Lepisosteus oculatus: one gene and its partners. The protein of the gene in region 4 interacts with the protein of the main gene of each other region in a biochemical or structural test. Links are inferred from orthologs where the notes say so. Each region holds a gene or a part of one and is shown on either strand. Other genes may lie near its edges. The genes, in order: usp10, maml1, numb and notch1b.

Region 1 (7,296 bases), on a different chromosome or scaffold from region 4:
ATAAGACTGGCTAATATTTTTTTTCTATTCACAAAGTGCAGTCATTGTACAGCACTCAGAATGGTACCCCTAAAAGACCATTATATACAACAAACCCACAACTAGTCTGTGCTTCACACAGTCACAAAGGTCATCTAAACACCAAAAAGAACCCAAAACATTTTTTGCAACACAGGCTCATCCTTGCATAGCATGATCAGTTTAAGTTCAGGTGGGTAGCTGCGTCAGCATGCGTAGGCTGCAAAGGAACAAGTAATAGGTTTATTCCATGCTGAAAAAAAGAAGAAAGAGAACACAACGTTTCGGCCGTGGAGCCTTCTTCAGGTGTGAGCCTTCACACCTGAAGAAGGCTCCACGGCCGAAACGTTGTGTTCTCTTTCTTCTTTTTTTCAGCATGGAATAAACCTATTACTTGTTCCATGATCAGTTTAATACTGAGCTATTTTGCACACTACTATATTTTGTCTTTGACTCTCTCTGCCAACAGCAGCAAAGTTGAATGAAAAACATACCGATCCACTACAACAAATCCACAACAGACAGTGTGAACTACAACGATAAGCTCTAAACTCCAGGCAAGTCTTCCCAATCCACATGGACTGTCATGGTGTCTGGTAGCATAATGCTGTATACACCATCATGCAATTAAAGACCATAAGCATTCTTTAACATCAAAAAGAAATACAGCAAATAAAAGGTAAGTCAAATAGAAATGTCATAGGCAAGCTGGAATACAAAACGAGCATTTATACAATTTAAATTTCTTTGCTGAGGTAAAACTTCCAAAAACTGGTAGGGCAACCTCGTTCGCTGTTTTAAACTTGGCAAAGCGAAAGGCAGATAATATCTATCAAGTTAGCGTACAGAGCGTTTTCCTTTATGTCCTGATAGCCAAACCGATGCAAGTACAGGAAATGACCAAAAGCATCTAGTTAAAAAGAAACATCCACAGTATCCACGCACGGGGGTATACTGTGTCCTTGAAAAGTCAGAAAATGCACAAAGCTTTTAACAATGCAGATTTTCTGAAGTGCATTGGTAGTTCCGAATCTATACATCTTAAACGTATTACACATTTTCTTCAAATACACCTCATCATGATCTCTTCACTGATATTAAATACGGATTCCCCCTGTGCTCTGAAAACTGAACACCCCACCGGTCTGGGCACAATTACTAAGTACGCGAAACATGCTAGGTTTATACTAATTAAGGACAACCGATTTAAACTCAAGTTAAAACTGCAGTAAACAAAAATAAGATTTTACGTCCTCCGTAAACGATTTACAATAAAGCAATGCATCCCTTTTTGTAAGTTTCAACAACTTGAGCGGCATCACGTGTCAAGTGTCCTGAATGGAAGCCGCACTCTGAAGTTTTAAAGCACTACACACCACCTCAGCGGCACAAACCGCCCAGCTTTCAAGCCGGGAGAGAAAAAAAAACACTAAACCACCTGTACGTTTCTCGTGATACTGAAAAAAAGTCAATGCAAATGTGTTCCTACGTCGAGCAGCTCACAGTGGTCTCAGTATAAAAATGCTGCCTGGTAGGGGGATGGGCGCCTATGATTCAGCTGAATTTCAATGTTCCCGTTACAACTCCTCGTAACGCGCTGCCCAAGTTGAAACTATAAACGCGAAGATGTAGCTAAGCAAAAGAAAGAGAAAGAACGATACATTAATAGCTTGCACTATCAAAATCATGCTATATTATACACGCCAAACTCGCAAGTATCCGAGAGCTTAAGTACACACCGCTTCCTGCATCTAGCAATTCCAAAAAAACACGCTTTCCTCAAACTTACGCTGGACACTCAAATGCCTACACTTTGTTGTCTACGACCTATCAGCATTTTGTGGTACAATTCTACTTCTCAAGACCGCCTGCTATCACAAATTCACCCTTCAACCCACGACTGCTCCGCCACCAAACCTAAGAAACCGCAGGTACCGAAACTTCTTAAAGGTCTTTCAGCTACTTCTCCCAAAGCTAGGAAAACCATGAGTATAGTTATCATCCGGTATTCCCACCAGAGTTAGCCAGCACTCCACATTATTCCTGCATGCTTCTAAATTTCTCTCCGATCACCGATTTTCGTGTCGTTTTCTTACAATATAAAAGCACAGCTAGAATAGTCTCTGCGCCTTAGGGGAAAAAAAGATAGGGGGCCCAAAATCTACGGCTACTCCTCAAATTTATTTCGGCTTCATAGGGTAACAGTGGAGGCAAGGCTGCGATGAGAATCTAAATGATGAACAGGCCCAAACACGTTACGCAGGCGTCCTTTTCAAAGTAAAGTGCATTTGCACTGAAGAGCGACAAACGAGTTATAAAAATGTCCATTGCAAGTCCCGTTGCGCTCTCCTTCATACAACACTGGATGAGTCTCCTAACACGGAAAAACAAGACCGCCCCCCCTCCCCGATCAACAGGCCCAATGCATGCCACCAGCGGATGCACCGTTTCACACTTTAAATGAATTAAAAACCGACTCCAGAGGGGGGGAGAAACCCCCAGTCAGGACAAAAACGGGTCGTGCACCACAACTCACTGACGGCGAGGGTGACTTTTACCCGAGCGCGCTGTTTGACACCGCGGAAGAAAGCGGCTCTCAGCTCGCCGAGGCCTGTTGCGGTGCAGGTTGGGCCGAGCACGCCAGCTAAACCATCTCGAAATGCAATGCAAAACCACCCGAGTGGGGCAAACATCCACGTGTTGAGATGCAACCGGGGCTGGGTCGACACGGCGGCACGGGTCGGATTTCTGAGCGCAGGACTTAAACCCGCTCTTCGGGAGCTCTCGTCTATGAATGAGTGAGGCTGCCTCTGGGCCTCGTCCATGCTGGGGTTTCAATGGGGGAAGCAGGCATCCCGTGCTCGGGGAAACTCGCCTTGCAATTTTTTTTTCGCCCACTTCTCAATGACAAAGCTGCACTTTGCAACAGCCAAAGCACTCACACGCATGCCAGCATGAGCCGTGGCGTCTCCGAGGCCCGCTGCAGTACCTACGACTCGGAACACCAGAGTGAAGAACAGTTTTTACCTGGCTGCTGTGTGAAGCCATGCTCCCGGCGAGTTTCTTTTCTTTTTTTACAATTAAAAAAGAAAATAAACTTCCTCTTCTCCAGGGATGAGCTGAAATGTGGTCTTTGACTTAAAAACAAATCAATTTCTACTGCGACATTTTCAATGTAGTTTCTTTTTTTTTAATCTAGAGTATATAACGTTAAGGTTGTATTCTCCTCCTCCTGCCCATCACGCTGCTAACCCCACCATGGCCGCCATCTTTGTCTCGCCTTGCTTCTGGCTTGCGCGCGCTTGAGAGCCTGACTGAGTCCGCGGTGAGCGCGTGCGCCCTGGGTGGGAGGCGGAGAAACGCGGGGACGCGCACCGCATTGCGCATGCCCAGCGCCAGCGGAGGCGAAAGGGCCCCTTACACCTACAGCACATGGGTACACGCTCGCGGTTTGGGAAATATATTGAAAGGGGAGACATGGCACACTTGTCTTTAATGCATGACTCTGCATGTTTTGTATTCAGGAACAATCATTTCTTCCTAAAATGACAGAGGAAATCTAAAATGACCACAAGCTAGCGGGACTGGTCCAAGCTAGCTGATGTTTTAGTAGATAATTCCTGCCAAGATTTAATCCAAACGTTTCTTGAAGCAAGCTAGGGTATCTGCATTAACAACACAACTGTTATTGTGCCACGGGAAACCCTTTGTGTAAATTCGTGCCTCCATTCCTCGGTTTCAAATACCCTTCCTAGCAGTTCCCACTTGTGATCCTGTCTTTTTTTCACTGTCGATTCTGAAAAAGTCCAATAGGCTGACTTTATCAACATCTTTTAAGAATTTGAATGTCTGAATCTGGTACTGCTCTACTCAAGACTTGACTTTTTCATTCTCTGGACTGACTCAAGAGCAGCAATAATGTTTTGCAATGTGACCAATAACCGTACAATGAATTGTACAATTGTAACATCACTTGATTTAAATTCTACAATAGTAACTGATTTCCCCCCTTTACATGATAGGCGTCCTGCTCCTGCAGTTGAAAATACCAGTGAGTTCAATTTTCCCAGCAGCAACTGGAATGGATGTGTTCACACAGTTTGGCTTCCTCATGAGTTGTGCAGATCACGGGGTTAAAGACCATTTTTTTCTGATGTTTTGTGAGATTCTTTCTGTGGAAATGTATGCAGTTTGGATCCACACCGATTTAGTGGTCAAAACCGAATTTTCTGTTTTGATGACGAGACAGAGACGTTTCTATAGAGTTTTTTTTTAATTGTGAACACCCTATCGGTTTACATTTTCATTGTTTTTTATTCATTGTTCATTAGCTGTAGCCATAAAATTATAGTTATACCTCACGAATATGATCAAATCGAAATCCATCGTGAAAACTAGAGGTTTAATAATGCCATTTGCAAGAGCGATTAAAACTGTTTCTGCAACATTGAACGTAGATTAACATACTTCTTATATTGCCTTATCAAATATTTGCTATTTAAAGTAAATACTAATTACTTCCTAAAACAGTGAGTCGCGCTGCGACCAGTTAAAAACGAGTTTTTAAAGGCGGGGTTCTCCGTTTGGGAAGTCAAGCTGTGAGCTCAGGTATGAGGTGTGTATGTGTATGTGTGTGTGGGATCGTGGTGTCGGAGCTACGCACAAAGTGTACCTTGAAAATTAATGGCGGATGTGAAACATCAAAATACAATAGTTGTGCACTGTCGATGGATTTAACCTGGTCACTCGAGGCAGATATGTCCATGTTTCGTCAACAACACGACGAAAAATAAAACAAAGTACCACAAAACCTCGCTTTCTTTGTTATGTTGCGTACTCGGAAGTTGTGGTATTTGTGATGCTGACTTGAAAACTTGAGTCCGAAAACCATTTAGGTCGAACTGAAGACCTCCAACTTCTTTATTTGACCTCTGAAAGATACACGAGTTATTTCTCAACTCAAGTCCTGTTTCGAGGGTTAGCGAATTACTGGGAAACTACTGACCGGTCAACCAGTTTCGGCTGAGAGGCGCATCAAACCGGGTTTCGGTAACCGGAGCTATTTGTACAACACAGCCCGGGATGGAGCACTGGAACTTCTTTTGCTGACTTCTGAGGGTAAGCTGTGCTCATAAATCAGTATAAAATACGCAAAATAAAAAATCGCAAAGTAATTGTATATACATACAGGGTGATGGTGGCCAAAACCAGTGAAACTCGTTACTAACCCTATTAGATGCAGGCGTAACTCTTTGCCTACTTTGACACTTTTAACAAGAATATTATGATTATGCAATGAAACAAGTAAAGGTTTATTCCACGCTGAAAACGTCACCCTTCACACCTGTAGGAGGCTCAACATCTTGAAACGTTGTTTCTTTTTATCTCTTTTCAGCATGGACTAAATCTTTACTTATTCTTTGTATCCTACGCATGCTGACGCAGCTATCTACTCGAACTACATATGATTATGGTCCAATGTGTAGATTACGTTTAGTTACGAAGAACTATGCTTAAAGTCTTTGTATTCACCTAGTAGAACTACACGCTGCTTTAATAATAGTATCCTTATATTTACATAGCGCTTTCTGGACACGCCACTCAAAGCTCTTTTCAGGTAATTGGGACTTCCACTTCTCAGTGAGGAGGAGAACAGTGTGATAAAGTCAGTTCAAACATGGGGATTATTAGGAGACCGTGATTGGTAAAGGCCGCTGGGAAATTAAGCCAGGTTATTGGGGGTGACACCCCTACTTTCCTCGAGAAACTCCCTGGGATGTTTAACAACCACAGAGAGGCAGGGGCTTGGTTTTAAGTTTCATCTGAAGGACAGCATCTTTTTTACAGTATAGTGTAAGCATCGCTATACTGGGGCATTAGGACCCACACAGACTGCAGTGTGAGCGCACCCTACTGGCCCCACTAACCCCTCTTCCAGCAGCAGCCTTAGCTTTCCCCGGAGGTGTCCAATCCAGGTACTGGCCAGTACCTGCTGAGCTTCAGTGGGCTATATTACCCTGCAGCTCACAACTAACTTTAAGCTCTAAGACCTGTTAAATTTGGCAAAGCATGAGCATGTTAGTTTTAAAAAGCATCAGCATTTAATAAAGTATTTGCACAGCACTGCAGCACTATGTAATATTTATATGCGAGTATAAAAATCACTCTCTGCATGTTTTTTTAAAAAAAACACATAGTATAGAACATGGATAATATGTATTTTTGGATATTACTTAAAGCATTCTGGCGTAATTATGATTTAGCATCCGTCATGACTGACTGTGGTACATTGATATCCTTCACCTGTGTCTTGGCTGCTCACTTAAGTGTTGGCACACCTGCCACGAAAATGATTTTGCCGTTTTCCTGCTACCACTGTGGGACTGTTGCAGCTACTGTATAAGTGGTGCGTTACTTTTGTTTTTCTCTCTGAGCTGTTCTCTGCCCCTTCATCGATCCACAGGGCATACAGTACATTCACGGAACTCACAGATCATAAGATGCCGGGAGGTGGGAGGAATCCTGGAAGAGATGAGGAGCCGCAGAGCAAGACGAGGAGCGAAAGTGGCACTCGCCGTGATATGGACAGACAGAGGGAGAGGTACCGGCACGCCAGAGACCAGAGACACCCGCAGTACTGGGATGACAGGGATCCTAGCTACCTGGAAAAGAGAGACCGGGATTATCCTGACAGACGGGAGGACAGGAATCCCCGCAGCTCCGGAGGGCCGCAACTTCAAAGGGACCAGCCTCCTTCCTACAGGGAAGAAAGGTAACGGAAAATTCACTCTTTTTTTCCTGAGGTGTCAAAACAAAACCACAGTGGGAAAACTCTGAAGATGGCTGAAGTGGTCTGAGTCTACACTCAGAGGCTGGAGCTGGTGGTGTAAACCTTTCGTCTGTTTCCTGACCCACAACTCTCCCCTCCCAGGTGTCTGGACTTTCTATAAAGATCCTAAATCTGTTGGTCCGACAGTGCTTTGGCCCAGTTCCTGTATATAAAGTGTACGAAAACATTATAACTTGGTTACCATTGCTCTGTTGTTCCTGCAGTAGCAGGTGAGGTAAGAGCCGGGCCTGTTTTCTTCTCTTCAGTGCTCATCGTTACTTACTTTAAACACAGGTCACATCAGGGACCCTCAGTGCCTCCAGATGAAATGAGTTATGATGAATCAGTGCCATCCAGTGGGCTTCGTGGCTGCTACAACTTCAAATATATTCCTACCTCTAGAGGTGAGTGTCATGATGAAGGCGATTTTTAAAAGAGAATCCATGATG
Region 2 (7,962 bases), on a different chromosome or scaffold from region 4:
TGTAAGATTTAAGGTATACCTGTTATCAAGCATTTTAAATGAGAACTTGGGGCATGTCAACACTGAGTCTCCAATCCTGGTATGGAACTATCCAGCACATAAGTAACTGTCAAATCAATTTTTCCCCCATCTTAAAGCCCTTCAGCTCCCATATTTGAAAAACAAATACCCGAAGGAGACCCCATAGCCAAAACGCTGCATTTCCTTTCTTTTCTGAAAACTTGTTCCTTTGGAAGAACAAATGCTTATTTGGGGTGGCCTACAAGTCTAACTAAATAACCCTGGTATAAAAAGAAAAAGCACTGTTTAACTGACAAATTGTGATCCCTTGTAGGTAAGAATCTACACTGAGTTTTTACAACATGCATGCTATTGAGCAAAGACGAATGACACGACTCTCCCTGCAAATATACAGCACTCCCAGTTTCATCATTACACAAGTTGTTGTGAAACTAAAAAAAAAATTGCAAGTAAAAGCTGTGAAGGCCCTTGAGGGAAAAGCTGTTTTGATAAAATGTATTTGTATCTGGAGACATTAAATTCAGAAAACATTTTGCATTGACTATTTATGGATGCTATTTGATATTTTTCTAACCAGTGTTACTGCTTACATATTAAAGGAGCACAACATGTTCTTAAACACCTGAAGAAGACTTCACAGCCGAAACGTTGAGTTTTCTCTCTTCTCTTTTCAGCATGGAATAAACCTATTACTTGTTCCTTTGCAGACTACACATCCTGACACAGCTACCCACCTGAACATGTTCTTGAACTACTACCACACAGGTAAAAGTTGATTTTACATTGGTGGTGCTAGAATATTCAGATATGGAATTAATCATCCAAAACCTACTGATCACCTACAGACCACATTTGTTTTCTGTGCATTTATGAAGTGACTGTCAGAGTTTGGATATGTCAATAGCCATCACTTGTTTTCGGCACAATCAGCAGACAATAGGGGGTCCAGATTTAACATCAGTATACTGCAAATACAGAACCTATAACTAGCGTTATGAGGGGGTAATGCAATAACACCCATCACTGAGGTCACTTCTCCTGCTTTCCTTCATAGACAGCAGTACCCAAAAGCAAAAACTCGAAATGTCTTAAAAACACATTGAGTAACTTTTTTTTCTGCATCACAAGTTAAGCTAGATAACCTTTTCAATCAGCCACACAGCTAAGACTGGCCTTTAGTTAAAGTCTCACTAGACTTCAGTCTATGCCCCCTACCTTAAAGAAGTCTACATGGTGACATTTTATTTCACTACACTGTCATACCAAACTGGGTTTCATGAAATCAGAATGACATCAGTTTAAGAACATGTTTAAACTCGCACGGTATGACTTCATAAAAGGAGTCATCATATTCGCCCAGATTTTAATGGAATTACAGCAGCGTTATAAGTGGCAAAGTGCCAAATACTCCCCAAACTGCTGGAGTTCAGAGGTCAGTCCAGATGGGGGGGGTTTCTTCCCCCCAGATGCACAGAGCATTCCTCTTAGATGAAGCAAAACTCGGTCTGTGGCTTGAGTGCTTCATATCTCCAACACAAAGTTGAAAGTTCATTAACGGGCATTTAGCTTTCAAGCATCCCCTGGAAAAGCAAATCGAAATGCAAAACCAGGCAACACAGCATCACAACTCAAGCGCGCTTACCGCAATCAGAGTGCTGTTCCGGCTCTGCTCTCCGGGGCCGCCGTCCGTCATCTCAGTGCTGCTACCCCCGGTGCCAGCCCCCCTGAGTCCCGCCTGGTCAGACGCCGGCTGCGCCTGTCTGTGCTTGCTCGCCCGCTTGGCCTTAGTCTGCAGGCAGCGCTGGTGCAAGGTGAAGGTGTGCTGGCGCTCGATCTCCAGCCGCTCCATCGCCGTGTTGTCGTAGCGGCTCTCGCAGCTGCTGTGATGCAGCCTGAAGAGCTCGATGCGCCGCCTGAGCCGCTCCATCACGGCGCTGTGCCGCGGCACCACGAAATCCGCCATCATCAACGGGCATGTAAAATGATCGATTACAATTCAAGGGGCTCGGATTTCCCAGAGGTATTGGGGGATACAAATAAAATCAGTTCCGAAGGTGCGCCTAAAAATGCGTGGGCGTTATTCCACCACCCCTTTTTTCCTTCACAAAAACATCACTACCGCTGCCTTCGTCTTTCCATGTTTCTCGACTTGCTCCCTAAACTATCATAACAATAGAGAACGCATGCCAAAAAGCAATTCAGAGCGCTATCTTTAACATGATCTGGCACTAATACATAACATAATAAAGTTATATTCCGGAGGCAGACAACCGGTCTAGTGCAATTTCGCAAACGCGAAGCTTACATTTGATGAGGTTACATTATAACGACCGCGTTTAAAAAAAGACGAAAGTGAGGCTTTAAATAATATTCATAAAGTTTGGAAGTTAAATCTCGGCGGTTTACTGTAGTAGCTGAAAACCAACCGTTAATTTCCACAACTTCACCCCTAACAAAAGGCAGGAGGGTTACAACAGCATATCTGAAACTATTTTAAAAGTGAATCCGAAAAAGTGACGTGAAACAGCATTCGCGACAAAGAAGTTCAACTGCACAGAAACATACGAAGAGCAACCTCTTCTCCGAAATAACTTCACCGAAGAAGTTAAGATTCTCCTGGCAGTTATTTTAACTTTACATACTTCTTTCTACGTAAGTCCGCCCGACGTCGCCTTGGCGTGGAAAAAACCGGACGGATGGACAAAATCCTAACTTAAAACGCAGCATGAAACGTTAAGTCAATATTATTTTTTAAACAACGTCGCTCGCATGCTGAATGATAAAAGAGGCAAACATTTACACAGGAAAAGTGAACTTCACAAAAAGTTACATCCCCCCCTCCAAAAAACAATTGACCACAAAAGCAACTTTTCCCCCCGAACTTATCCGCTGATCTTTATATTTTCGTTTAGTTGCCCACTAGCAGGCTACCTACGGATGTAGTATATATAATAACAAAGCGTGCTCTTCATTTTGACAAATGTAGGAGTATCAGAAAAGGGTAAAAGACACCCCAAACCCACCGGAATCCCGAGCCCTCAATGTTTGATATCCGAAGGTATTTTTTACACTAAGAAACAGAATGCCAAACAAACTCTTCCTCCCTTCTGTATCTCTATTGTTTTCCAATGGACTTGCAGCTTTCCGACGCCATTTTGAAACAAGTTTTTTTTCCCCTTTTTTTCTATTTTTTCCTCTTCGCATCACACTGCGTCACGACTGTCGTTTCCACTCCCCACCCCTTCTCAGCGATTGACAGCAGCCACAAGCAATGGAAAGCCCTGGTTTCCTTCACTGTGCGTAAACTTCGTTCAAAAAGCTATGATTAAGCACGCTTGGACGACATCTTTTTAAGAGAGGTGTGTTTTTAGTGAGTGGTGTGGAAAGACGCCAAACTTTTATTAATTTTCTCACAGAGCACATGATACGACTCATAAAGCGCTCGTTTATGTTTTTCAAACAGTACAGAGACCTGAAAATCACACCTAATTACACCACACGAGTTATCCACAATGATTATAACAATTACATAACTTAAATAACATCATCCGATATGTTTTAGTGTAGGAAAGTGTTGAGTCGATTATCTTTTTTCTTTTCCTAACTCTTGGTTAATTTTTTGTTAAGCACCGTGAACTAAAAGCGCTGTATAGAAGACAAAGTGAGTTTCCTTCTGGATATTTTTTTGGGTTTCTCCAAAACGATTTTTAAACGCTTGTGGCAGATTCCGTACGTTTAATTTTGCTAACGGACTGGAACTGTTGAATTGGCAAAATTATGGAACAAATGGTACATAAATATGCCCCTTGGACCTTTTCCATTTCAGATAAAGTATTCAATAGCAAACAAAACAGATCAAACATAAGTGGTATTTTATTGGCTCAGACGTCTACACACCACATTATATTTATACCATAAGTTATTAATCTTCCAAGACCATTATTTGAACTTGAAATTTGAGCCAAGCCTCTTGGTACCTGGATAAGGATACCCATGGGACTGTGCCATCTTATGTGACAGTTGTATTACCAACTGCAAGACCTCAGAAGCTAAGCAAACCTAAGCCTAGTCAATGGTGGAAGGACTCCAAGGAAAAACCAGGTTGCTATTACTATTAGTGGTGCTGGGTGACCAGTAGGGGACACTCTACCATTTGGCCAGAATTGACAAAACTATTGCCCAGGGATGGTAACTCAGGACACTGTGCTACGGAAAAGTGCCAACTTTAAAGTGGAACAATAACAGACTTCCTAAAGACCCTAAGGCACTATTCATGAGAGTAAGGGGGTCAGGGTAATCCCAATATCATGGCTGCTTCTCTTTGGGTTTATCCAATTTGACCTATTTACAGCTCCCCTTTATTCAACTGGTGAAGCGATTTCTCACTTCTCCTTATGAGCTTTAGAGTGGAATTGCTGTACCACCAATGAAATTACCTGCAAAGATGTTACCAAGGTAGGTACTACACTTAAGTGCTGGATGGAAAGGGTCTCTTTCTCTTAGAGAAGCACCTTTTCAAACAATTTCTTATTTGCTGGAGTATTTACAATAGATCACTTCTGTAAAGAGGCGCGTAACTGTGGCAATGGTGTCATGTTCAAAATGTATATGTTAAACTGACGTTCTCTGCTCCTCTTTTTTATAATCGCATGCAGTCACACACAGTAATCTACTTCATGAGTTGTTTTGCAAAGGCTGCTCTTCAAAAGTACAAAACCATGACAAGGCAGCTTGGCATTTTTAAATGTCATGTGCCTGCACTAGCACGGGCACCACAATGAAAGCCTTTCACATCAATCCCACTTCATTAATGCTGGGAAATCACAAAAAAAGATCTGACTCATTCTCTGCTTTAGGGATGCCCTAACATGACCTGAAATTATATAAAATCATTATGCAATTCAAATTTGTTCAACAATAGTTGAAATCGGTTCACCTCATGTGGCAGTTAGAAACTGGAGTGCTAGTGACTCAATTGTCCTTTTACAAAGAATCGTTAAGAAAAAAGTTTTTCATACCTTCCCCACAAAACAGGTTAAAGGTCTTTGTTTACATTTTTTCATTATAACTTTATTACATTTATAGTATATTTAGGGTTAGGTTGGTACTCCAGCTCGTCCTGCAGTTTTAAAAGAAACCAGACCCTCTCATTGCTACTGTTTATTTACTTCTAGGCACCAGTTTTGTTAAGCATTGAGGGCCTTCTGGTACACACAGATGCCACTAAGAACAAGTCTCTAATTTAAGGTGGGTAGATCAATCAATTTAATCTGGACCTTACTTAAGGCACTGAACATAATAAAGATCTATTTTTTGTGGAGCCCTAGAAATTAACATTAACCCTTAGGTTTCAACACCATTAAAATATACAAAACATAAAAGAATTAAGAAAAAGGATTTATTCATTTACTCTCTCAACTACCACTTGACATACACTATAAGTTGCCAATATGTATTCAGAGTGAGAATTTTGTACTTCCTCTTCCTGTTTAGTAGTTAGTAGACACCTGCCATACTAAAACAGAGATAGCACTGGCCTTCAAAGAGAACGTCTTTCAATCGAAAAAAATCCTTGTTTCTAGAATCCATGTCAACAAAGGCTCCAGAAAAAAAAAGAATACCATAGTAATGAGGAGCCCCATCTTTCAAACAAATGAAACAAACCGCATCCATCAATGTTTTATTTCTCTGCAAAACATTCCACAGATCCATTTATACAACTGCATTTAAGTGTCCCACCAAATAAAAAGACATCAACTCTGAAGAAATTATGAATTTTGTGGAGACAAAAACAAAATGGTAATAGCCCAAACTCAAATTTATTGTACAATATTTTATCTCAAAATTCCATCTATTATTCTATTTGGTGCATGATTAATGTGTTAGGAACTGGTAACCGACGTTCCATAATTCCACAGAAACTCCGTGAGGAACAGCACACATCTATGAAAGAGTGGATGAATCAAGGTTAGGCTTTAGAAATAGGAACTGAAATACATGACCACTTTAAAATAGTAAACCATATTTCTAGAACAAGGGGGGGGGGGGGGGGAACCTCACCTTGGTTTTGTTTTTTTACCAAGAGCTTTTCACCAATCCAGATGTTTTTATAACTTTTAGATATGCCTGGACTCTCCCAATCCTATCAAACTGACTTGGAAGAAAAGAAACAGGTTGATGGAGAAATAGAAAGCTTAGGCCATCAAATTGATCTGAACTTGGTTATTAAAAATAAATTAATGAAAGTAACAAAACACCATGTCAGAATGATTTTAGTCTGTAGCTCTTTCGGTTGAAGAGCTGGTGGTACTGATGTCCTCAATATCTCCATGTGAACACCATCGGTTCTCAGAAGAACTACTTGGAATGAAAAATAGCCAAAGAAGTTCAGCCACCCCTACATCTCTTCATGTCAAATTATTTTATTTTTGTGCAGTGGGATAATTGGTTTCTTTGGACAGTAGCAGACGTATGACATGCTGCCAACAATGTGTGCCAATCATAACTCTTTAAAATGTTATTTCTTCAAGCTGTTAAATTCCCCCAGAACAAAGTTTAGCATTCCATAAATATGAAACTGAGAGCAATCCTTGGTATTTTTATTTTAGATTTTTGGACCATCTCTCAATAAAACGTGACTTTTTCAAAACAGCTTTCCATTATCAGATGCAGCAATGCAGCCCGAGCTGTACAAAGTAAAGGCCTGCTCCTTCTATTCAAAAGGCTGATACCCTGAATGCTGTAGATGTTAGTACATCATGGCTCATCAGTAACATCATTAAAAGTAATAAATACTGCACTTTGCCTACAGGAAAACCAATATCAAAATATTCATTATCATAATGTATACAAAATGGAATTCCATTTGTAATACAGCAAATAAGAAGAGCAACTTTTATTCAGTTTTGAAGTCAGTGCAATCAGTTAAGACATGACAGAAGAAAAAAGTGTTTAGTAGCTGGCCAGGAGCAAGCACTGAAAGCCCTTTAAAATCTGCAGCCCTTATACCAAGACAACTGTGACCTTGTTCTGGAGAATAAAGTGTTGGGGGTTTAGGATAACATTTCAGATTCTTCTCTGCGTTTATCATCACGAATAAATGCAGGATTAAATAGGCTTGATGCCTGAAACTCAGAAAGCAACCAGGCACTTCTGTGTTGGCACCTTTTATAGCCAGGAAATTAGATCACAGGATGTGCACCAAAGTACTCACGTAGGAATGGGTAGTACCTTATGTCAGAGGCGGAACAGTCCTGGAAACTCCCAGATCAAGTGTATGCTCTTCATACAGATTTGAGGTTTGAACGCTTGGGTTTAACATCTATTCACATCAGCATGTAAGCGTTTAATTCACCAGTTGCTGACTTTTCATCTAAGGAATGCAAAACTTTATTTTCCTTTATAGACTGTATACTGTCCCTCCATTTTATCTAACTAAAAATATTCTAATACTAACAATGATGGAAATGAAAATTAAAAAATAAAAAATGCTCAAGAAGTAATATATTAAAAAAAAACATCCTCTCACATTACATTCAGGAACTCATTCAGAAATCCTGGCCTTCTTGAATAACAAGGCAGCATTTTCTAACCTAAGGGCCCCCAATTGAACTCCCTTTAGTCTGAGCCATCACAGGCCTCTGAACAGTAGAAGGAAGACCACATTTACCACAGAAAGTTCTGGACTGTAAAATTAACAGAGCAAGTATCCTTAATGGGCTATTATAATTAACAAATACAGACCTGAATGAACACTTGATCCAACACAAAGAAACGGATCACAATTTCAATTCACATATCAAACCCTGTTCTCAGGTTCAATATATGCAGTATTTTTAGACGATACATCTGAAACACCCCTTTAAATAGACGTTAAACAATCCAGTCTGTGTTCATTGATTCATCCATCTCAAACAGGGGAACTTAAGATGTGAAACCTAG
Region 3 (7,578 bases), on a different chromosome or scaffold from region 4:
CACAAAACGAGCCTGAAAGAAACCTCTGACAACCTAAAGAAAAAAAATCAATGAGGTGTCAACACGCCAACGCAAAAGGATCACAACAAAAGATACAGAAGTATTTCTGACAGAGGTTATGGTTCTGAAACTTGCAATTAATAACATTTGTCTGTAATAACATTTAAACAAGAGAAGGAGTAATAACCTATAAAATCATGTTCCCTTCTTTTCAATTTGCTGCAGGATCTCTTTCCAACTACACCTGTCTGCTCTGAAATAGTTCTGACAAAGAAATGGAGAAAAGAAAACATCAGTTCAACCAGTCACACATTAGACTTCCCATTGCACACACTCCACCTTCTCCAAAAACATCTGAGGACCGCCATTCTCCGGCCTTTAACCAACAGCCATAAACAACTTCTAGATCTTCACTGCCTTGTAACGGGTCTTGAATTTGACTGCTAAAGATCCACCTCAAACACCCCTTCTGTAGAACTGTAGGCAAACATTTACATAATCTTAAACCAAAACAACATCAACATGGAATGTGGTTCAGCAAAAAATGCTGCTTGACATGGAAACAAATAACATACTAAGATTACAGACAGACAGATTCAAGAGATTGGCCCCACACACTGCAGTTCTGAACACACAGGCCTTCATCAAAATCTATGCTCAGTCACACAAAGAAACTGCCTCTAATTTCAATCTCTGGACCCTCTGCTGGATCAGGAGGATCAGCAGATATCAGACCATAAAAGACAGAACTAATTTGCCCTCTTTACCGTTAAATGGAACTGGAAGGTTAATGAACACATGCCTTTCATTGCTATTTGTTCAGTTTCAGAAAAATCAGAGCAACATTTCACAAAATAAAGCAAAAGAAAATGCCTGAAAACATCCTTTACAAAATCAAGACTAGACATAGGCTCCCAGGTGGCCTGAGAAGAACAAGAACTTTGGCAGACACTGAAACCAGGCTTGTACACGACTGGGCACAGAGGGCCTGTCACTGGCAGGGGCTGTGCCCATCCCATGACTCTCACACAGTAGCTAACTTCCTGAGGAAGCAATCCACCTGGGCTGGTGGTATTCCCAGCCCAACACAGACCACCCACAGCCCACCCAGAGCTGCGCTCACGTTCCAACAAAGGTGAACCGCACTACAGAAACAGAACCCATTTTCTTCTCATTCCCCACGTAAGCCCTTTACCCACAGGAGCGCAGGAAAACTTTGGAAGAAACTCTTGCCCCTGGCCGCTTTTTAAAATAGGTTAACTTAAGCCTTTGACTTCAGACAGCTCACGCAGTACGGCAGCCAAGTTAATGAAGGACATGCGTATGTGTGTCACCTGGCTCTGGTACAGTTCAGGTCCTGGGAACTCCACTGTGAGTAGGGCTCACCAGCTTTTTACTTCTCCAGTTGGGAGACATAAAGGGACAGAGGCACTTTTGTAAGTTCAGTCACATTTATGGAAAATGAAAATGTTGAAAAATAAAAACCACAGGAAGGCTCCCCCCCTCCTAATAAAAAACACAAGCTGATCGAGTGTGCGCTTTCGACTCTCAAACAGAACAGCGTGTGGGAAGCCACAACTCAATGAGAAAGTGCCCCAGGGGACAGGGGGCAGTTCCTGTCCCTTCCACCACTGAAACGGTAGCAAGTCCTCATCCAGAGCATGAGCTGCCAATTCCTTCACAAAGCAGGCAGTGTTGGGAAACATCAGAGCTCTGCAAACAGGCATCTCTGTTAAAAAACACTTCAGGAAACAAGAGATGATCGGATATTTGTACATTTTTTGTGTAAAAAATGAGCTGTGGTACTTACAATTAAGTATTCTGCGCTACAAGGCTGCGGCCTCAAACCAGGATATGGTGCAGAAAAGTTCTGGACCAACAAAGAAGATAAACAGGCTGCCCAGCCGTGTTGTTGAAGCTGAAACCCTGTCTTCTTTACATAAACAATAGATCCCTAGATTAATTAAGATGGGTTCCTCTCGTTTGTAACCTTTATAAAAGACCTCTGACGGTACAAGGATGTGTGCTTTTATCCATGTGTGCTTTGGCGAGAATGCGGTTCCACCTCCGGTGCTCTGTGGGACAGAGAAGCCCAGTGGTTAACCTGTCCAGGACGTTTTGGGTTAATAGGTTACTGACTATCCGAGCTGAGGAAGGGACACAGATTCCTTCCGATTTCCTTCAATCCGCAAATCACGAACAGAAACTGCATCTTCCAAAGAGGAAGACAGCTGAACCATGTTGAAGTATCCAAAGAATTAAATACCTTAGCCCGTCACATGAGACCGTTCTGCATACTGCTGACGTTAGATCCCTAGAAATATGTGATTCAAACCGCACACGAGTAATGCTCGCGTTTTTTTTTTCCTGTGTATGCGTCTGGTTCTTTTCCGCACGATACCGGCCACTTCTGCTGTGCCTGACCTTCACAGTCTCACTGGCAGAGCGGTAGACTATAGAACAGTTTATTGAGATTGATCAATCTAACTCCTCCATCAAAGCTGTTTAAATCCGCCCCTGAAAACGTAAACTGTTAACAGAAAACACAAGTCAGCGGACAGCCGGGCATGCACAGGTGCCGATACGCCCAGCAAACCCGCAGAAGGCAAAATCACAAGACGCCCCGTTTCGTGACAGTTTTTAATTTAAGCAGCTAGACTCGCTGCAGCTACCGGTCCAGGGTTCGTACACTCGCTAGGACCGACTGACACAACGGCTTTGCTTTACATACACTAGTGTCGCACATTATGTTAACGTGTTAAGCCTTTACAGAATTACAAGACATTCTGAGACACGAAATCCGTAAAAAACGAAATGACTGCGTGAGTCATTTTTGAGAAGTAATATTCTGATAGCATGGCATCTGGCAGGACTTCACACTACATGCTGTACACTGGGTGACAAGTGAAATTCACCCAAGTCCCAGAGCGAACAAGTAACTACGGCGCTACCAGAACCGCACGGCATACGACTGAAGTAGCCAACAACAAAATCATTAAAAAACAGGAAACTGTCAGGGAATGGACTTACCTTGACACCAGCTCCAGACAGGAAAGGTGTAAAAGTGCTTACTGGCACTGGTTTAGCTTCCTAGCAGCACGAAAAACGACCAATACAATGTAAATTCCCAGAAGAACAGGGAAGGAAAACTGAGCCGACACCTCCAATCCAGCGAAAGCCAGCCGACTCACCTGCTCGCTAACCAGCCGCCGGCTCAACCTAACCTCACCCCTAGCAACGGCCCGCCTTCCATCGACTCCGATTGCAGCAACCCTTGAGTCTGGAGGCGGGAGCTAACTCCCTCGGTTGTCCGAACGGACTTCCAATCAGCAGTAGAGGAGGCGTGTCCGAAGGCTCAAGGAGTACATGTACAGGCTAAATCGAATGCATGTCAAGACTATCGCTCCGCCTTCATTTCATAGCGGAAGATGGAGCACCCAATCATTCACCTGGGTCTGCTCGTTTGCGCACTATGTGCCTACCCATCCCCATAATTTCCCCGCCCATTTTCTTCATCCCTCTTCAGAGCTGTTCAGTTTTCTGTGGAAAGCAGATGATTTGCGCATGCTTGGGTAGAGGTTACAGATCTCGTTATACGTCAAGAAAGCGTCGGTTGGTTGTTTAACCCCAGCTGTTCTGGTTTCTGAAGCTGCAGATAACTTAGGCTTTAGGCACCGGCGTGCTGTAAATACAGTGTATCTGGCTGTACTGACAGTTTTAAACTGTCGACGGGGAGTCTCACTGATTTTTTTTTAAATAAGTAACACTAGCTGTATATTGCACATCCAGTACAGTGCGGGGGCACTGTGAATACTTAATACTTTGCGAATACATACAAAATGTTCCAGAATACAACAGATAAGTGTAAAAATATACTTTTTTCCAAGGTCTCGACCTTATAGGCAGATGATAACACGAAGTAATAAAAGGAAACAATGAGCAGAAATATCACTTTAATGCATATTTAATTTTCACAAGAACAGCGCAAAGCTGACACAAGCTAAATATTATACCAGTCATGAGTATATCGAAGTCTAGTCTGTCAGGATCAACCCTGTTTTTAAATAAAGCAGTTTACTGGGAACATTGCCAGTGTCTTGCAACACACCAGACAGTAGTCTCACGTTTAACAGAGGTCTTGGGTGTTTTGGATGAGTAGAAATATGCAAGAGATAAGGTTTAAAATCACTGTCCATAGTCTGGTTTGCAGCACCTGACTGGAAGCTGCTTAGTTTGTATGAATAGAAACAAAACCCAGTACTTCTTTGTAAGTCTGCATGTCTCAATGCAGAGAAAACTAGCATGAGGCATATTTCATCACACATTTTCTTGTTTTTGATTTTTTAATTTGCAGGGTGAGGTAGGCATCAGAATAACATGACTGCAGCATGCAGCATCTGACCCTTCTTAGAACAAATGGTGTCTAAAAAGTGACTTTATTTGTTTTACTTTCACAAACCCGTTAGGACATTTACGCATTAAACAGCAGCTAAGTCCAGAACAGAAATGCTTTTTCAAATCCTATACATGGTGTTTTCAAAAGCACTTGACATACAGGGAAATACTAGTGTGTCTAACAGTTAACATTTTAATGAGCTAACACGGAGATTCCTGTTATACTGTGGCACATCCCAGGGGAAAACTAAACTACCCACTGAACACGCAACTGGTGACATGCATTCCTAGCATGCCTAACTGTGAAGATCCTATCAATGTCACTCAGAGGGAGAATGAATGTTTTGCATGCCGATAGTCAATGGCACATTTTCAAAATATACTAACAAAGCTGTCTGGCCTGTTGAACACATTACATTCTGTTTAGTGACTGACCGAGGGGAAAACTTGTAGTTATTACCGGGAGTAAAAGCTTGGAGAGAGCTTCCCAGCCTTTCCTCCATGTAAGAGATACAATCACTTTATTGGTCATACTGTATACAATTTCTTGTATTAGGAATTTGTATCTTTTCATATACCCCCACTTGCTCTCCACACAGGCAGGGAGAGAAGCTTGGGGTCAGAGCAAAGGGTCAGCCATTTACATGGCACCCCTGGAACAGTTGGGGTGAAGAGCCTTGCTCAGGGGCCCAACAGAGTAGGATGCCTCTGTCAGCTACAGGATTTGAACTAGTAACCTTCCAGCCACAGGCACAGATTCTTAGCCACAGAGCCACCACACCAGCCCATGTGTGCGCTTCAGAAGTGTCTGTTGATGAGATGTGTTGTGAAGGCTCTTGCGGAAATCCAGGATTAAGTTAATGGTAACCCAAACAGCCAATAGAAGAGGAAAAAGTAAAAACAACTGATCAGCAGCCACACCCAATTTGAAGCATGGTTATAGGGCTGAGTATTTGAAGGGTAGCATGAAAAGCAAATTCTGGCTGGTGCTGGGAGTGGAATTTGAGGGCCAGTAAACAAGGAATTTTCTACAGAAATCCCTAGCCAATGACCCTATGTGGTGATCCCTGCTCTTACCCTGGGCAATAAAGACCCATGGGAACATTGCTCATGGAACATGGAGGAGGATCATAATTGGTAGAGTGGGCAAATCTTCAAGTCTTCAGGTCTCTGTACCTTGATCAGGGCTAAGGGCTGTTATTTGTTATCCTCTCACACTCCAGTACTCAGATGCTGGTTCTGCTGGGATTTTGTAGTTTGATTCTTGGTTGAGATACAAACGTGCTTCATCCTATAAGTGCAGTCTGTGGTTTGTGAAGACCAACAAACATAACTTGGCACTGTAACAGGAGATACCCTGCTGGCTAGACATGACATTTCTCTATCATGTGTGTGCATAATGTATGTACTATGTGCTACCAAAAATCTACTCTTTTAATCAGACAGCTTAATTGTACACTAGCTCAGAATGGTTAATAATAAGTTCAATGTTTTCTCTAAAATATGCAATACATATTAAAAAACACTGCAGGAAACTACAGAAAATGTCCACTACTACTTTACACAGAGCAGTGGCTGTAAAATAGAGGTGGAGATGCGCTCATATTTCTGTCTGCACAGCCCTGTCTGCCTCTGTCATCTGCTGAATGATAAAATAAGCTTAGGCTCTATGATAAGAACTTTGTCTACTGTCTCAGAAAGCTGTGAGAAATGATGTCATTTCTAAACAGTTAAGTAACTTCTGAAATCTATCATTTTGGAACGAATGTATACAGTTGTGTCATTTTGTAAAGCCAGAGTCTCTTTTGCTGATAGCTAATCAGTTCACATACAAATGAAACGGAAACAGAGAGTGTACAAAGCATTAGTGAAAGAAATCGAAGATGGCAAAATTGCAGGAAGGTGCATTTTCAAGCGTTGGTCTGCATTAACCGAAAGACTTAAAAGTGAAAGACTGCACGTGCACCGGTCGGGGATGATTTATTTCACCTCACTATTTCTACTTGCATTCGTTTCCTGTTTTCACTGGAGTGTGGTAGAGCACTGCTCTGTCCAAAGAGAAAACAAACATTTTTAAAAAAACCTAAAGGTTACAAGGAGATCTTCAAATAATAGAAGCTCAAGACAAGGAATCCCCAGGACACCGGCCAGTTGATACTGAGCTGTGTTCCTCTCCCCTTCAGCCCCTGCCTGTACCATGACCTCCTGGTCCCCTGTCACTGAAGAATGCTAGATAAAGTGTGTTGGCATGCAGATGCACTTGAGCTGTGCCAAGCTGCTAGCCTGGGAGCAATTTGAATATGTGGTCAAATGCTCTGCCTGCTCTGCAAAGCACTCCCTAAAGCATCTTGTCTAGCTAGCCTTTCACAGCAGGTGACAGAGAAAGGCACATTTAGAGGAGCCCATAAGGGCTGTAATATCCCTCCAATACTGGGTCATGCAGATGCTCTTTATAGGCTAGGGAGGGAGTCGAGCCCGAGCCATTAAATCTATCCTGTGGGTCTAGAATGAAACTGTACTGCACACAGGAGTTGAAATGAAATACGCCTTAAAATTGGCTAATTTTAAAACATTTTGCAATTTTAAACTCACAAAAAGCCAATATGAGTTTCTGTTTAAATTGCCTTAAGAATGCAGCTACTAGTGTCATTTGGCACAGACCTCTAGATCTACCAATGGTGGCTCCAGTGAAGTAAGAAGGAAGACAGCAGGATGACAACTGTTGTGACTGTACAAAGGCCTGAACTTTTAGTGGGTTCTGGGATAGAGTCATAGATTTTGCAGTTTCCTCTCATTCCTGCCTCTGCCCACTCTGATGGAGCAAAAGAGCATTATAGCATAAAAGCAATCACCCCTGAAGAAGTGGTTAAAATTTGTGCCTCTCTTTGCAAGGATTAAGAGCGCTTCTACATACTGTAAACAAAGAGGCACCTACATTCCAGCTGCTCTGGTCACCCAGAATCACAGGCCTGAGGGATTTATTCTTCACTTCCAAATGTGTCCTGGGAAATATATTCATATATTCATGTGCACTAATTAAGCATAAAATAATTGGTCCATTGGAAATCTAATTTCTAAATCACTTCATTTAGCTCCACAGGATCCAAGAGAACTCGTCTTTCTTTCTGTGCTCTAAAACCAAATGATTTCAATTTCGGCCTCTTGCCAAGATCAAGATTAATG
Region 4 (7,772 bases):
ATGACCAAGACTTTACCCTGGGCAAATACTTTTAGTTGCATAATTTGCCCACTGCACTTGTTTGGTTTCATTTATGTCTTTGAATCAGTTCCAGTCACATACAATTTAATTACATTTCACAGCCATCTGGGCTTATAATGTAAATCACAGAGAGATCTTCCATTCAAAAAAGGGGGGGAGGGACGGAGGCAGGGGGAGTGTGTGTAGGGGGGGGGGGGGGTTGGGGTCGGGGCCGAGAGGGGAACTCGCATTCTGAGAAGCCACACAATGATTAGTCACACAGCATTAATCTGCCTTTTTAACAATAGCTACCGAGTTGCGACCGAATCCCAGCTGTCGCCCCATGAAAGAAAAGAAAAACAAGAGTTAGAGCTTCAAGCGTCTATGAGACTTCTGCTGGAGAAGTGTCCTGCATTCATTAGAGGCTGCGGGAAAAGCTTGCTTTTGTCCACGAAATTGCTCATGGGCCTGATTAATTTGCCAAAGTTTTTTTTTTTGGTGTGTGTGTGCGCGCTGGGGAGGGAAAATGTTAGACAGACAACACCGAAGCAATGTCACTAAAACAAAAGACAAAAGAAAAAAAACAATATAAGGAGAATAATTTTGGAGATTTTTACGATATCGTCACACTTCGGGGCTCCGGTCTTGACGTTGCGATCAGATTCGCCGGTACAAGCGAGCGCTTACCTGCATTCTCCTGATCCATCAGAAGCGGTTTCGCACCTCCCTCCATTCAAACATGTCTCAGCGGGTAGCGTGCATCTCAGACCTGCAAGCACAAACATCGCAACTTGAACGGCCTTTCTCTCGCTTTATTTTATTGAAGTTCAAAAGTCGCCGCAAGAGATGTCAGGAGACATGGGATGAGATTCTTCACTATGTATTCAATCTGGCAGTTATTTTCCCCATAAACCACAGTGAAACACTGGGGAAAAGTGGACATCAGCAGCACGATTAATTAATAGTACGACACAGTGACACCCCAGGTTGCAACTTCGCGGACGACACAGGCATGTTCACTTTAAAGTCATGTGTTTTGCAGAGCTGAAGTAAACTGTAGTGCCAAGCTGAAAGCTAAATGAAATCCAAGGTGTTACTTTCAAAGGCTATTCTTGCTCACTGCGAAAGTCTGCCAAACTTCTGCGCACAGGGCAAAAGTTGAATACAGTACAAACCAGGTGCATGTGTATGGACAACGCTTGGGCCGCTCTGCAGGTGGATAAGGGTATTGCAACTGCATGCGACACGCAGAAAAGAGTGTCCTTATGTAGACTGCTTAGCAAAACAGGACAGAAATACGGAGAAAACGCTTTTCTGCGTCTAGGCTGACGGGCGCAGTGCAATGCCCAGTTATGGTTTACTAGTAGCAAGGACTTTGTACAATGTGCGGGGGGCAGCACAATCGCCCCTGGGGTAGTGAGCTGAATTGTGTATTTAGGAGAGTGCGTGACGTGCAAGCCCGTGGGAAAAACGCAACAGCTGCGGAGCAAGGACTCTCCGGACCCTTAACAAAAGAAGAAATCAGAGTCCAGCACTGTGGCAGCTAAAAAAGCCTCCTGTTGTCTTGTTTAATGCGGGGTACGATCAATGCTGAGCCTCCGCCTCCACTTGCGTTAGATACAATCTTAGAGCACACGAACGCCTTGCCCCCCTGCCTCTCAATAAAAAAAAACACTGGATTAATACCCTCATCAAACACCAAGCTTAAATGCTACAGTATCAAAGGACAGTTATGTATTAAGTATGCGTAATACTGTCAAAATATAATGCATACAAGGTTGGAGTTGCAGTGTACTGTACGTTATCACTGTTCTCAGTCGAAAATAATGATCGTTTATGATATTAATAATATACTGTGAAACAACACTAAGGAATACCCAAGCAACACGTAGGGGCGAAAAAAAACTAATACCTTTCGAAAATGATTTAGTTCAGAACAAGGGAGTGACTCATTTGGACACAAATGTAACTTAAGAGAAAAAAAAAAACTTTCACACGCTCGCCTGTAAGATAACAATTATTAAAACTGAGACCGCGAAACCGAAAATAAAATCACAGAAAAGTTACTCGCATGCCTCAATACGATCGATTGAAGCCTGGTGTCATTTTGTTAAACTTCCGCGATGTTTGCGAGGAACAAAAATATCTGAAGAGCGAACATAAATCGGACAAAAAGTACTCCACAATCTACATCAAACTCGACAAATTACGTGTTACGGTATCTCAGCATTTTAAGAGGTGTATGACAAGCAAAAGGAGGTGAAAATGAAGATTAGAAAATGAAATTCAGTGGCACTATAAAGAATATAGTCATTCTAATTTTGACACAAGAGTAAATAAACTCCTGAAAAGGTCACGCACGCGATATTAAGGTTCCAAAAAGGGTTATATTCACAATAATTCACTTTCTGTTCCAGTGGATTAGCAACTGATGCTATTTAGCTAGCAAGATGCGTCGCAGGCTGAGAACACGCAACAAGTGTTTTAGACTTGACTGCTGGATTTTTCCCCCCTTCAGTTAAAATAACACCGCGACACAGAATGAGTGCAATACTCTTGACTTCGACCACTTAGACCGGAATTCCCATCACTATTAGTCCTAATTATAAAGTCCCCCAAGTCATATTTAAAAGTGCGAAGAAAAAAATAACGTCTTCAATCCCATGCTTCTGCGAGAGACTGGGAATACAGTCACTGTTAAACGACTAAATAATAAACGGGCTCTACTGAATGCGAAACATGTTAACTCACCTCGTGTTAAACCAGTCAATGAAATCAGAAATATTAGTTTCACAAAGAAATGATGCATTCCTTCTCTTCTGCTTTACAGATCCTTAATAATCCCACGTAAGGTTAGCATAGATCCAGAGGTTCTTTTCTTCTTCTTTTGCCAAGAGTTTTAATGCACATCAAATATCCTCAATAAATAGATCCAAAAACCTCTCACTCCCAAATGTCCCTACGTACTCCGTGCGTGTGATGTGCTCTCCTCGGCTTCAGACTTCTATATGCGACTTGGCTTTCTGCAGTCTCCACTTGGCAATCAGGGGCGTTATCCTTCCGCGCAGGTACCTCTCCCAAATTACTTCTCGCTCCCAGAGCACTTGCTCGAGGAACAGTGGGAAAAACACGCCCCCTCTTTAAAACCACCTTGCGTTTGCTACGCAGAGCAGTTTGAAATTAAACATTGACGTCCACTCACGTTTTGCTGAAGTGTTTTAGAATCGGAACTATGCGGCAGAGCACTACTGTAGTACAGCACTTGGGGTTAGTACGGAAAGTTTGTGAAAGGCGGAAGACTTCTGCCTAATTTACAAATCAATTGAAGGGTTGCTGGTAGAGCGCCGGTCTGGGTTCGGCTGCTGTCTGTCGCTTGCTGGGAGAAAGTCTGAAGAACACAGCAGTCTTCTCACTTCAGACGCCCGGACAGAATATTCAAAAGTCTCGCCGGTTATTGAATTCACGACATCGCTTGAAAATGAGTTAATTTGTTTCTTTTCCCTAGAACAAAAAAAAAAAGTCCCGCGCCAGTTTCCGTCCTTTTCAGTGTGTGCTGATGCACTTTTTTGTTTATGGAAACGATACATTTTTTCAAATAAAAAGGCAAAACAAAGAAAAATTTGAAAAATAAAACATGTGACAGGCGTGTTGTTGTAAACAGTATTTATCCAAATGATATTCCACCTAAAATCCTGATGAATGTATAAAAATAACCTTTTCTTAAGACCACATTAGCTGTAAATAAAAAAAATATAGTCGGTTTTATCCAAACATTGTTCATTCTTTGGTGGGTTTCTTTTTTTTAGGAATATTGTATATATTTGGGTTGAGATTAAAACGATTATGGTATCTTGGCAAACAGTTTCATATTTCGAACGGGAGCCTTATCTTTTAACATTCTTTATCGCTTTATTTATATATAATATCCAATTTATTTTTGTATTTTGAGAGGGGCGGGGACATTGTTAATATGGCTTGAGAACTTTGGGGTCACAAGTTTACAATTTATTACAACAGGGTCTACCGCAATATAGTTATGACGCAGAAGAATGAAAGCCAGCCTAATGTTTGTCAAAAACAAAAACAGGCGGACACTAGAAGAAACCTACGGGGAAGTATATTTTAAGACAGGAGACACGTCTTTACACCAAGGGTTGTGGGAGTCTGAAACAAGTTTCCCAACCTTGCTGTTTAAAGTTATGACCTGGGAGACTTTAAAAAATGACTGTCTGAGATTCTCCAGTCCATCTCAGATCTGTGTTTTTTATTATATAAACCAAATTTAATGTTACAATAATTCGCCTCCAAAGAAAAAAATATAGTAGCATGATTTCAGGTGGGTAGCTGTGTCAGCATGTGTAGGCTGCAAAGGAACAATAGGTTTATTCCATGCTGAAAAGAAAAGAAAGAAAACACAATGTTTTGGCTGTGGAGCCTTCTTCAGGTGTAAGAAAGATTGGCCTGCCAATGGACTGCACTATTGTTTTTGGAATATACCTATTACTTGCTCCTTTATGGTAGAATTATGCCCATTACAATTTACAGGCCTTACAGGTTATATAACAACATAAAACAAAACAGTTTAATCATTTGAGGTTTCTCTGTTGTTCTGTGCTGCCTCAATGGAATAAAATTACACACTGATAAATATCTCACAGTGTTTCACCAGCATGGAAAGCTGAAAACACCAACAAAAAACACAAAGAGATAACTATATGCTGACATTAACCGTTTCACATTAGTCTTGAGCTACAGCAACTATATCTGATGACACTTCCTTGTTTATATCTTTATGCATGGATATTTACACAAAGGATCTTCCAAAGAATAGGTTCAAGTGCTGCACCCAATGACCTGTCCGAAAGAGATTTTGGGTTTATCTCCTGCAGTAAAAGGTCTTCCTTCTTTTATCTAGGATCGAAGACAGTAAAAGCAAGAATTAAAAGCACATTGACTACAAATTATCTTCATCTGTGATTTAAACTATGGCTTTTTTTCTGTTATACACATGGTAAGTGGAAAGTGTGAGAAGGTGGTTTTATACTGTTATCACTTTCACTCACTTTCGGATAGTGATTGAATGAAGGGGGAAAACAGGAGGGAGACACGTTCACACCTTTCTCCTTGTTAAAAGAAATCTATAGAAACCTATTGCATAGAGAACATTTCCATATAAACCTATAGATCATCCTTAGGTTATTTTCTTAAACTAATCATTTTTTAATCTAATGCACCGAGCACTTGCATAAATACTTCTACTGCTACTACCACTATTTCTATTGCTACTGCAACTAATAATAATTTATTTAGCACTTTTCATTCAAAAGTATCCCAAACCTCTTTTCAAATAAGAATGTACCCACTCTATCAATCACTGAAGTGAAGCCCCAATTGTTATGACTGCAGTCCCACTAATTGCCATGTCTGATATGAAGAAGAAAAATGTCTGTATGTGGAGACATTAATTCACATGTAACACAAATATGTAGTCAAAGGCTAACAATAAATGAGTGTATTCTCCCACCTGCCTAATAGAACAACCTACAGTTCTTCTACCAATGGTATCAGAAACACTAACCTTGAAACAATCAAAGTGCATGTAAATCAAATTAAAAGATCTTCAGACAAATGTCTGATAAAAACAAGAGATGTTAATTTTGCATAGACGCAATGTTATAATAAAAAAAATCATAAAAACATTTAATTCTACAAATGTCAAATCCTCCAATTGTTTTTCTAACAATAAATTAGTAGATAACCTTTACTTCAACTTTCCTTCTATACTTTCCTATGTAGGTTAAAGATGAAAAAACATCAGTTGCTGCAGTCTTGAAATGTTGTTGCTCACTCAGTACAATGCACTGGTTTCTTTGTGAAACTCCTGGCTTGTGTGATTTTGTGGTTTAGGTTTTAGGGCATTTAGATTTTCATTAAAGTCTAAGATGAGGGGAAAAAATGATGACGCCCCTAGTTATATAAAACATGTTTACAGTACACGAAAAGTTGAACGTATTGTATGGAAATTTGTGCCTTTCTTTCGGGAGTAAGGTGGGAACCACAAGGTGAAATGTTATCTCCAGTTTCTGCGCCTCCAGGCAAAGCTTAATTTTGCATAGCCATATTTTTGCGTTGACAGCTGAACTAAACCCTGGCCAAGAAAAAGCAGGTAACAAACGCTGGAAGTGTGGGAACAGCCTCTTAAGGAGAATCTTTGACCTGGGGCCAGAAAAAAAAGGTAAAAAAATTGTGGAGGTGGTAGTGGTGAGAGAGAGAGTTAATGAAGTACAGCACTGTGAGGACATGTGGAAACACCCCCATACACTTAAATGATATATACATTTTATTGTTGTCATAATCACAATATATCCCAAACATTTGGCATATATTAACTCCAAAACCCTTCAAGACTTGGCTTTTTATTGGCAGGGCTGCTGAGTGCCAACGGCATATTGCATTGTTAATAACTTTGAAAGACAACTCTTGTGGATAAATGCTCTAGTTATAAATGTACCATTTTATAGGCAGAACGTCTGTGGAACAGCAAGGCTTGTAAGAGAATATTTACAAGAATGACCGTTTTGAAAGAACATACAGAGTGTGACTTTGACTATAGCAGATCTAGAACGCTGCTCTGATCCCTAAGCTTTCTCATTTATTTTTTGCTCTTTGTGAAGTAGTCACCCACAGGTGACTTCAGTGCAGACCAACCCAGCTAACGCCCTGTAACATAAACCTAGTGGGTGTGGAAAAAAGTAGAAAAATCCCCCACACAGATGCATTCTGGCAGATGTCCACTAGCGATACTATTCACCTGTGAAAGGATGTGTGCTGTTAGCGTTGTCTCCCTTAACCCACTAATCTCAGTTTATCACAGGACTTATTTTGCTGAAACACACAGCTGCCAACACAGCATTCATATTTGTACAGAACTGAACAGAGGAGAAAAAAATGAACAATTGCCTACTGATAAATTTATATTCCACGTTAAGAACACCAACACAGTTTTTCATCTGTACACTAAAACAAACAGTAACTTTTATGGTGATAATTCTCTTTACATTAGACAGTTAGTGTTAACTGGCAGAAAACAATTTAGTTGTAGAATCCCTTTCATTCAATATGAAGCTGCACAAATCCTCCAAAGTATAGGTCTGGTGTTACAATCACTAATAAACCAACCAAAATTCTATATTACTTCTGTGTAGGTGTGTTCTTTAAAACTATTTTTAATTAAAAATTATAACAGTAAACCAACACATTGACAGTGCCCTCCAGACATATTAAAAAACATCATATAGCTGAATGAGTTAAGGATTGTATAATATGTCTCTTTATAAATTCTAATTATGTTATTGCTGTAATTGTAATAGGATTGCACAGAGCAAAGTAATTTTTGTCATAAAACAAACCGAATTCCAGAAAACAAGAGGGTCACCTTTACTCAGATCTCTAAATATTTAAATAAAATTAAACCAAAACAAATCAACAATCATATTATGCTGTTTGGAAGTACGAAGGAAGCCTCCAGAATAACAGCATATAGAGGCCTCCATAGGATATACAACTCTCCACTGTATTGGAAACAAAAGGAAGACTAGGGCCGTTTTAAGGAACACAGTCCTTTTCCAGATTCATTTTATGAGTTGTGGGACAGGTGACAGGTCTGCCTTGTTCTCAGTCCAAAAAATTAGGTTTTGTTTAAAGAACCATTCAATCAGCTTCTCGTGTCTTCCTGGAATCCAAATATGGGCTCTTTATGGATGTCCCACAAT

Evidence for each region.
Region 1: the proteins of notch1b (region 4) and usp10 form a complex in vitro, tested with the Homo sapiens proteins (2 studies listed by BioGRID, with this or other methods). The link is inferred for Lepisosteus oculatus from reciprocal best matches to the Homo sapiens genes NOTCH1 and USP10.
Region 2: the proteins of notch1b (region 4) and maml1 form a complex in vitro, tested with the Homo sapiens proteins (2 studies listed by BioGRID). The link is inferred for Lepisosteus oculatus from reciprocal best matches to the Homo sapiens genes NOTCH1 and MAML1.
Region 3: the proteins of notch1b (region 4) and numb form a complex in vitro, tested with the Homo sapiens proteins (2 studies listed by BioGRID). The link is inferred for Lepisosteus oculatus from reciprocal best matches to the Homo sapiens genes NOTCH1 and NUMB.

Annotation. Positions count from the first base shown.
Region 1 is NC_090715.1:10,018,332-10,025,627, reverse strand, and holds the start of usp10 (ubiquitin carboxyl-terminal hydrolase 10), read right to left. Parts: upstream 3,315-7,296; 5' UTR 3,067-3,314; coding exon 3,046-3,066; intron 1-3,045. Other genes in the region: marveld3 (MARVEL domain-containing protein 3), read left to right, coding at 6,519-6,790, 7,142-7,251. UniProt on the Homo sapiens protein: Hydrolase that can remove conjugated ubiquitin from target proteins such as p53/TP53, RPS2/us5, RPS3/us3, RPS10/eS10, BECN1, SNX3 and CFTR.
Region 2 is NC_090706.1:33,847,195-33,855,156, forward strand, and holds the start of maml1 (mastermind-like protein 1), read right to left. Parts: upstream 3,204-7,962; 5' UTR 1,988-3,203; coding exon 1,664-1,987; intron 1-1,663. UniProt on the Homo sapiens protein: Acts as a transcriptional coactivator for NOTCH proteins. Has been shown to amplify NOTCH-induced transcription of HES1. Enhances phosphorylation and proteolytic turnover of the NOTCH intracellular domain in the nucleus through interaction with CDK8.
Region 3 is NC_090703.1:20,409,070-20,416,647, reverse strand, and holds the start of numb (protein numb homolog), read right to left. Parts: upstream 3,241-7,578; 5' UTR 3,192-3,240; intron 3,186-3,191; exon of another isoform or gene 3,031-3,185; intron 1-3,030. UniProt on the Homo sapiens protein: Regulates clathrin-mediated receptor endocytosis. Plays a role in the process of neurogenesis.
Region 4 is NC_090719.1:5,185,383-5,193,154, forward strand, and holds the start of notch1b (neurogenic locus notch homolog protein 1b), read right to left. Parts: upstream 3,086-7,772; 5' UTR 2,810-3,085; coding exon 2,752-2,809; intron 770-2,751; coding exon 688-769; intron 1-687. UniProt on the Homo sapiens protein: Functions as a receptor for membrane-bound ligands Jagged-1 (JAG1), Jagged-2 (JAG2) and Delta-1 (DLL1) to regulate cell-fate determination.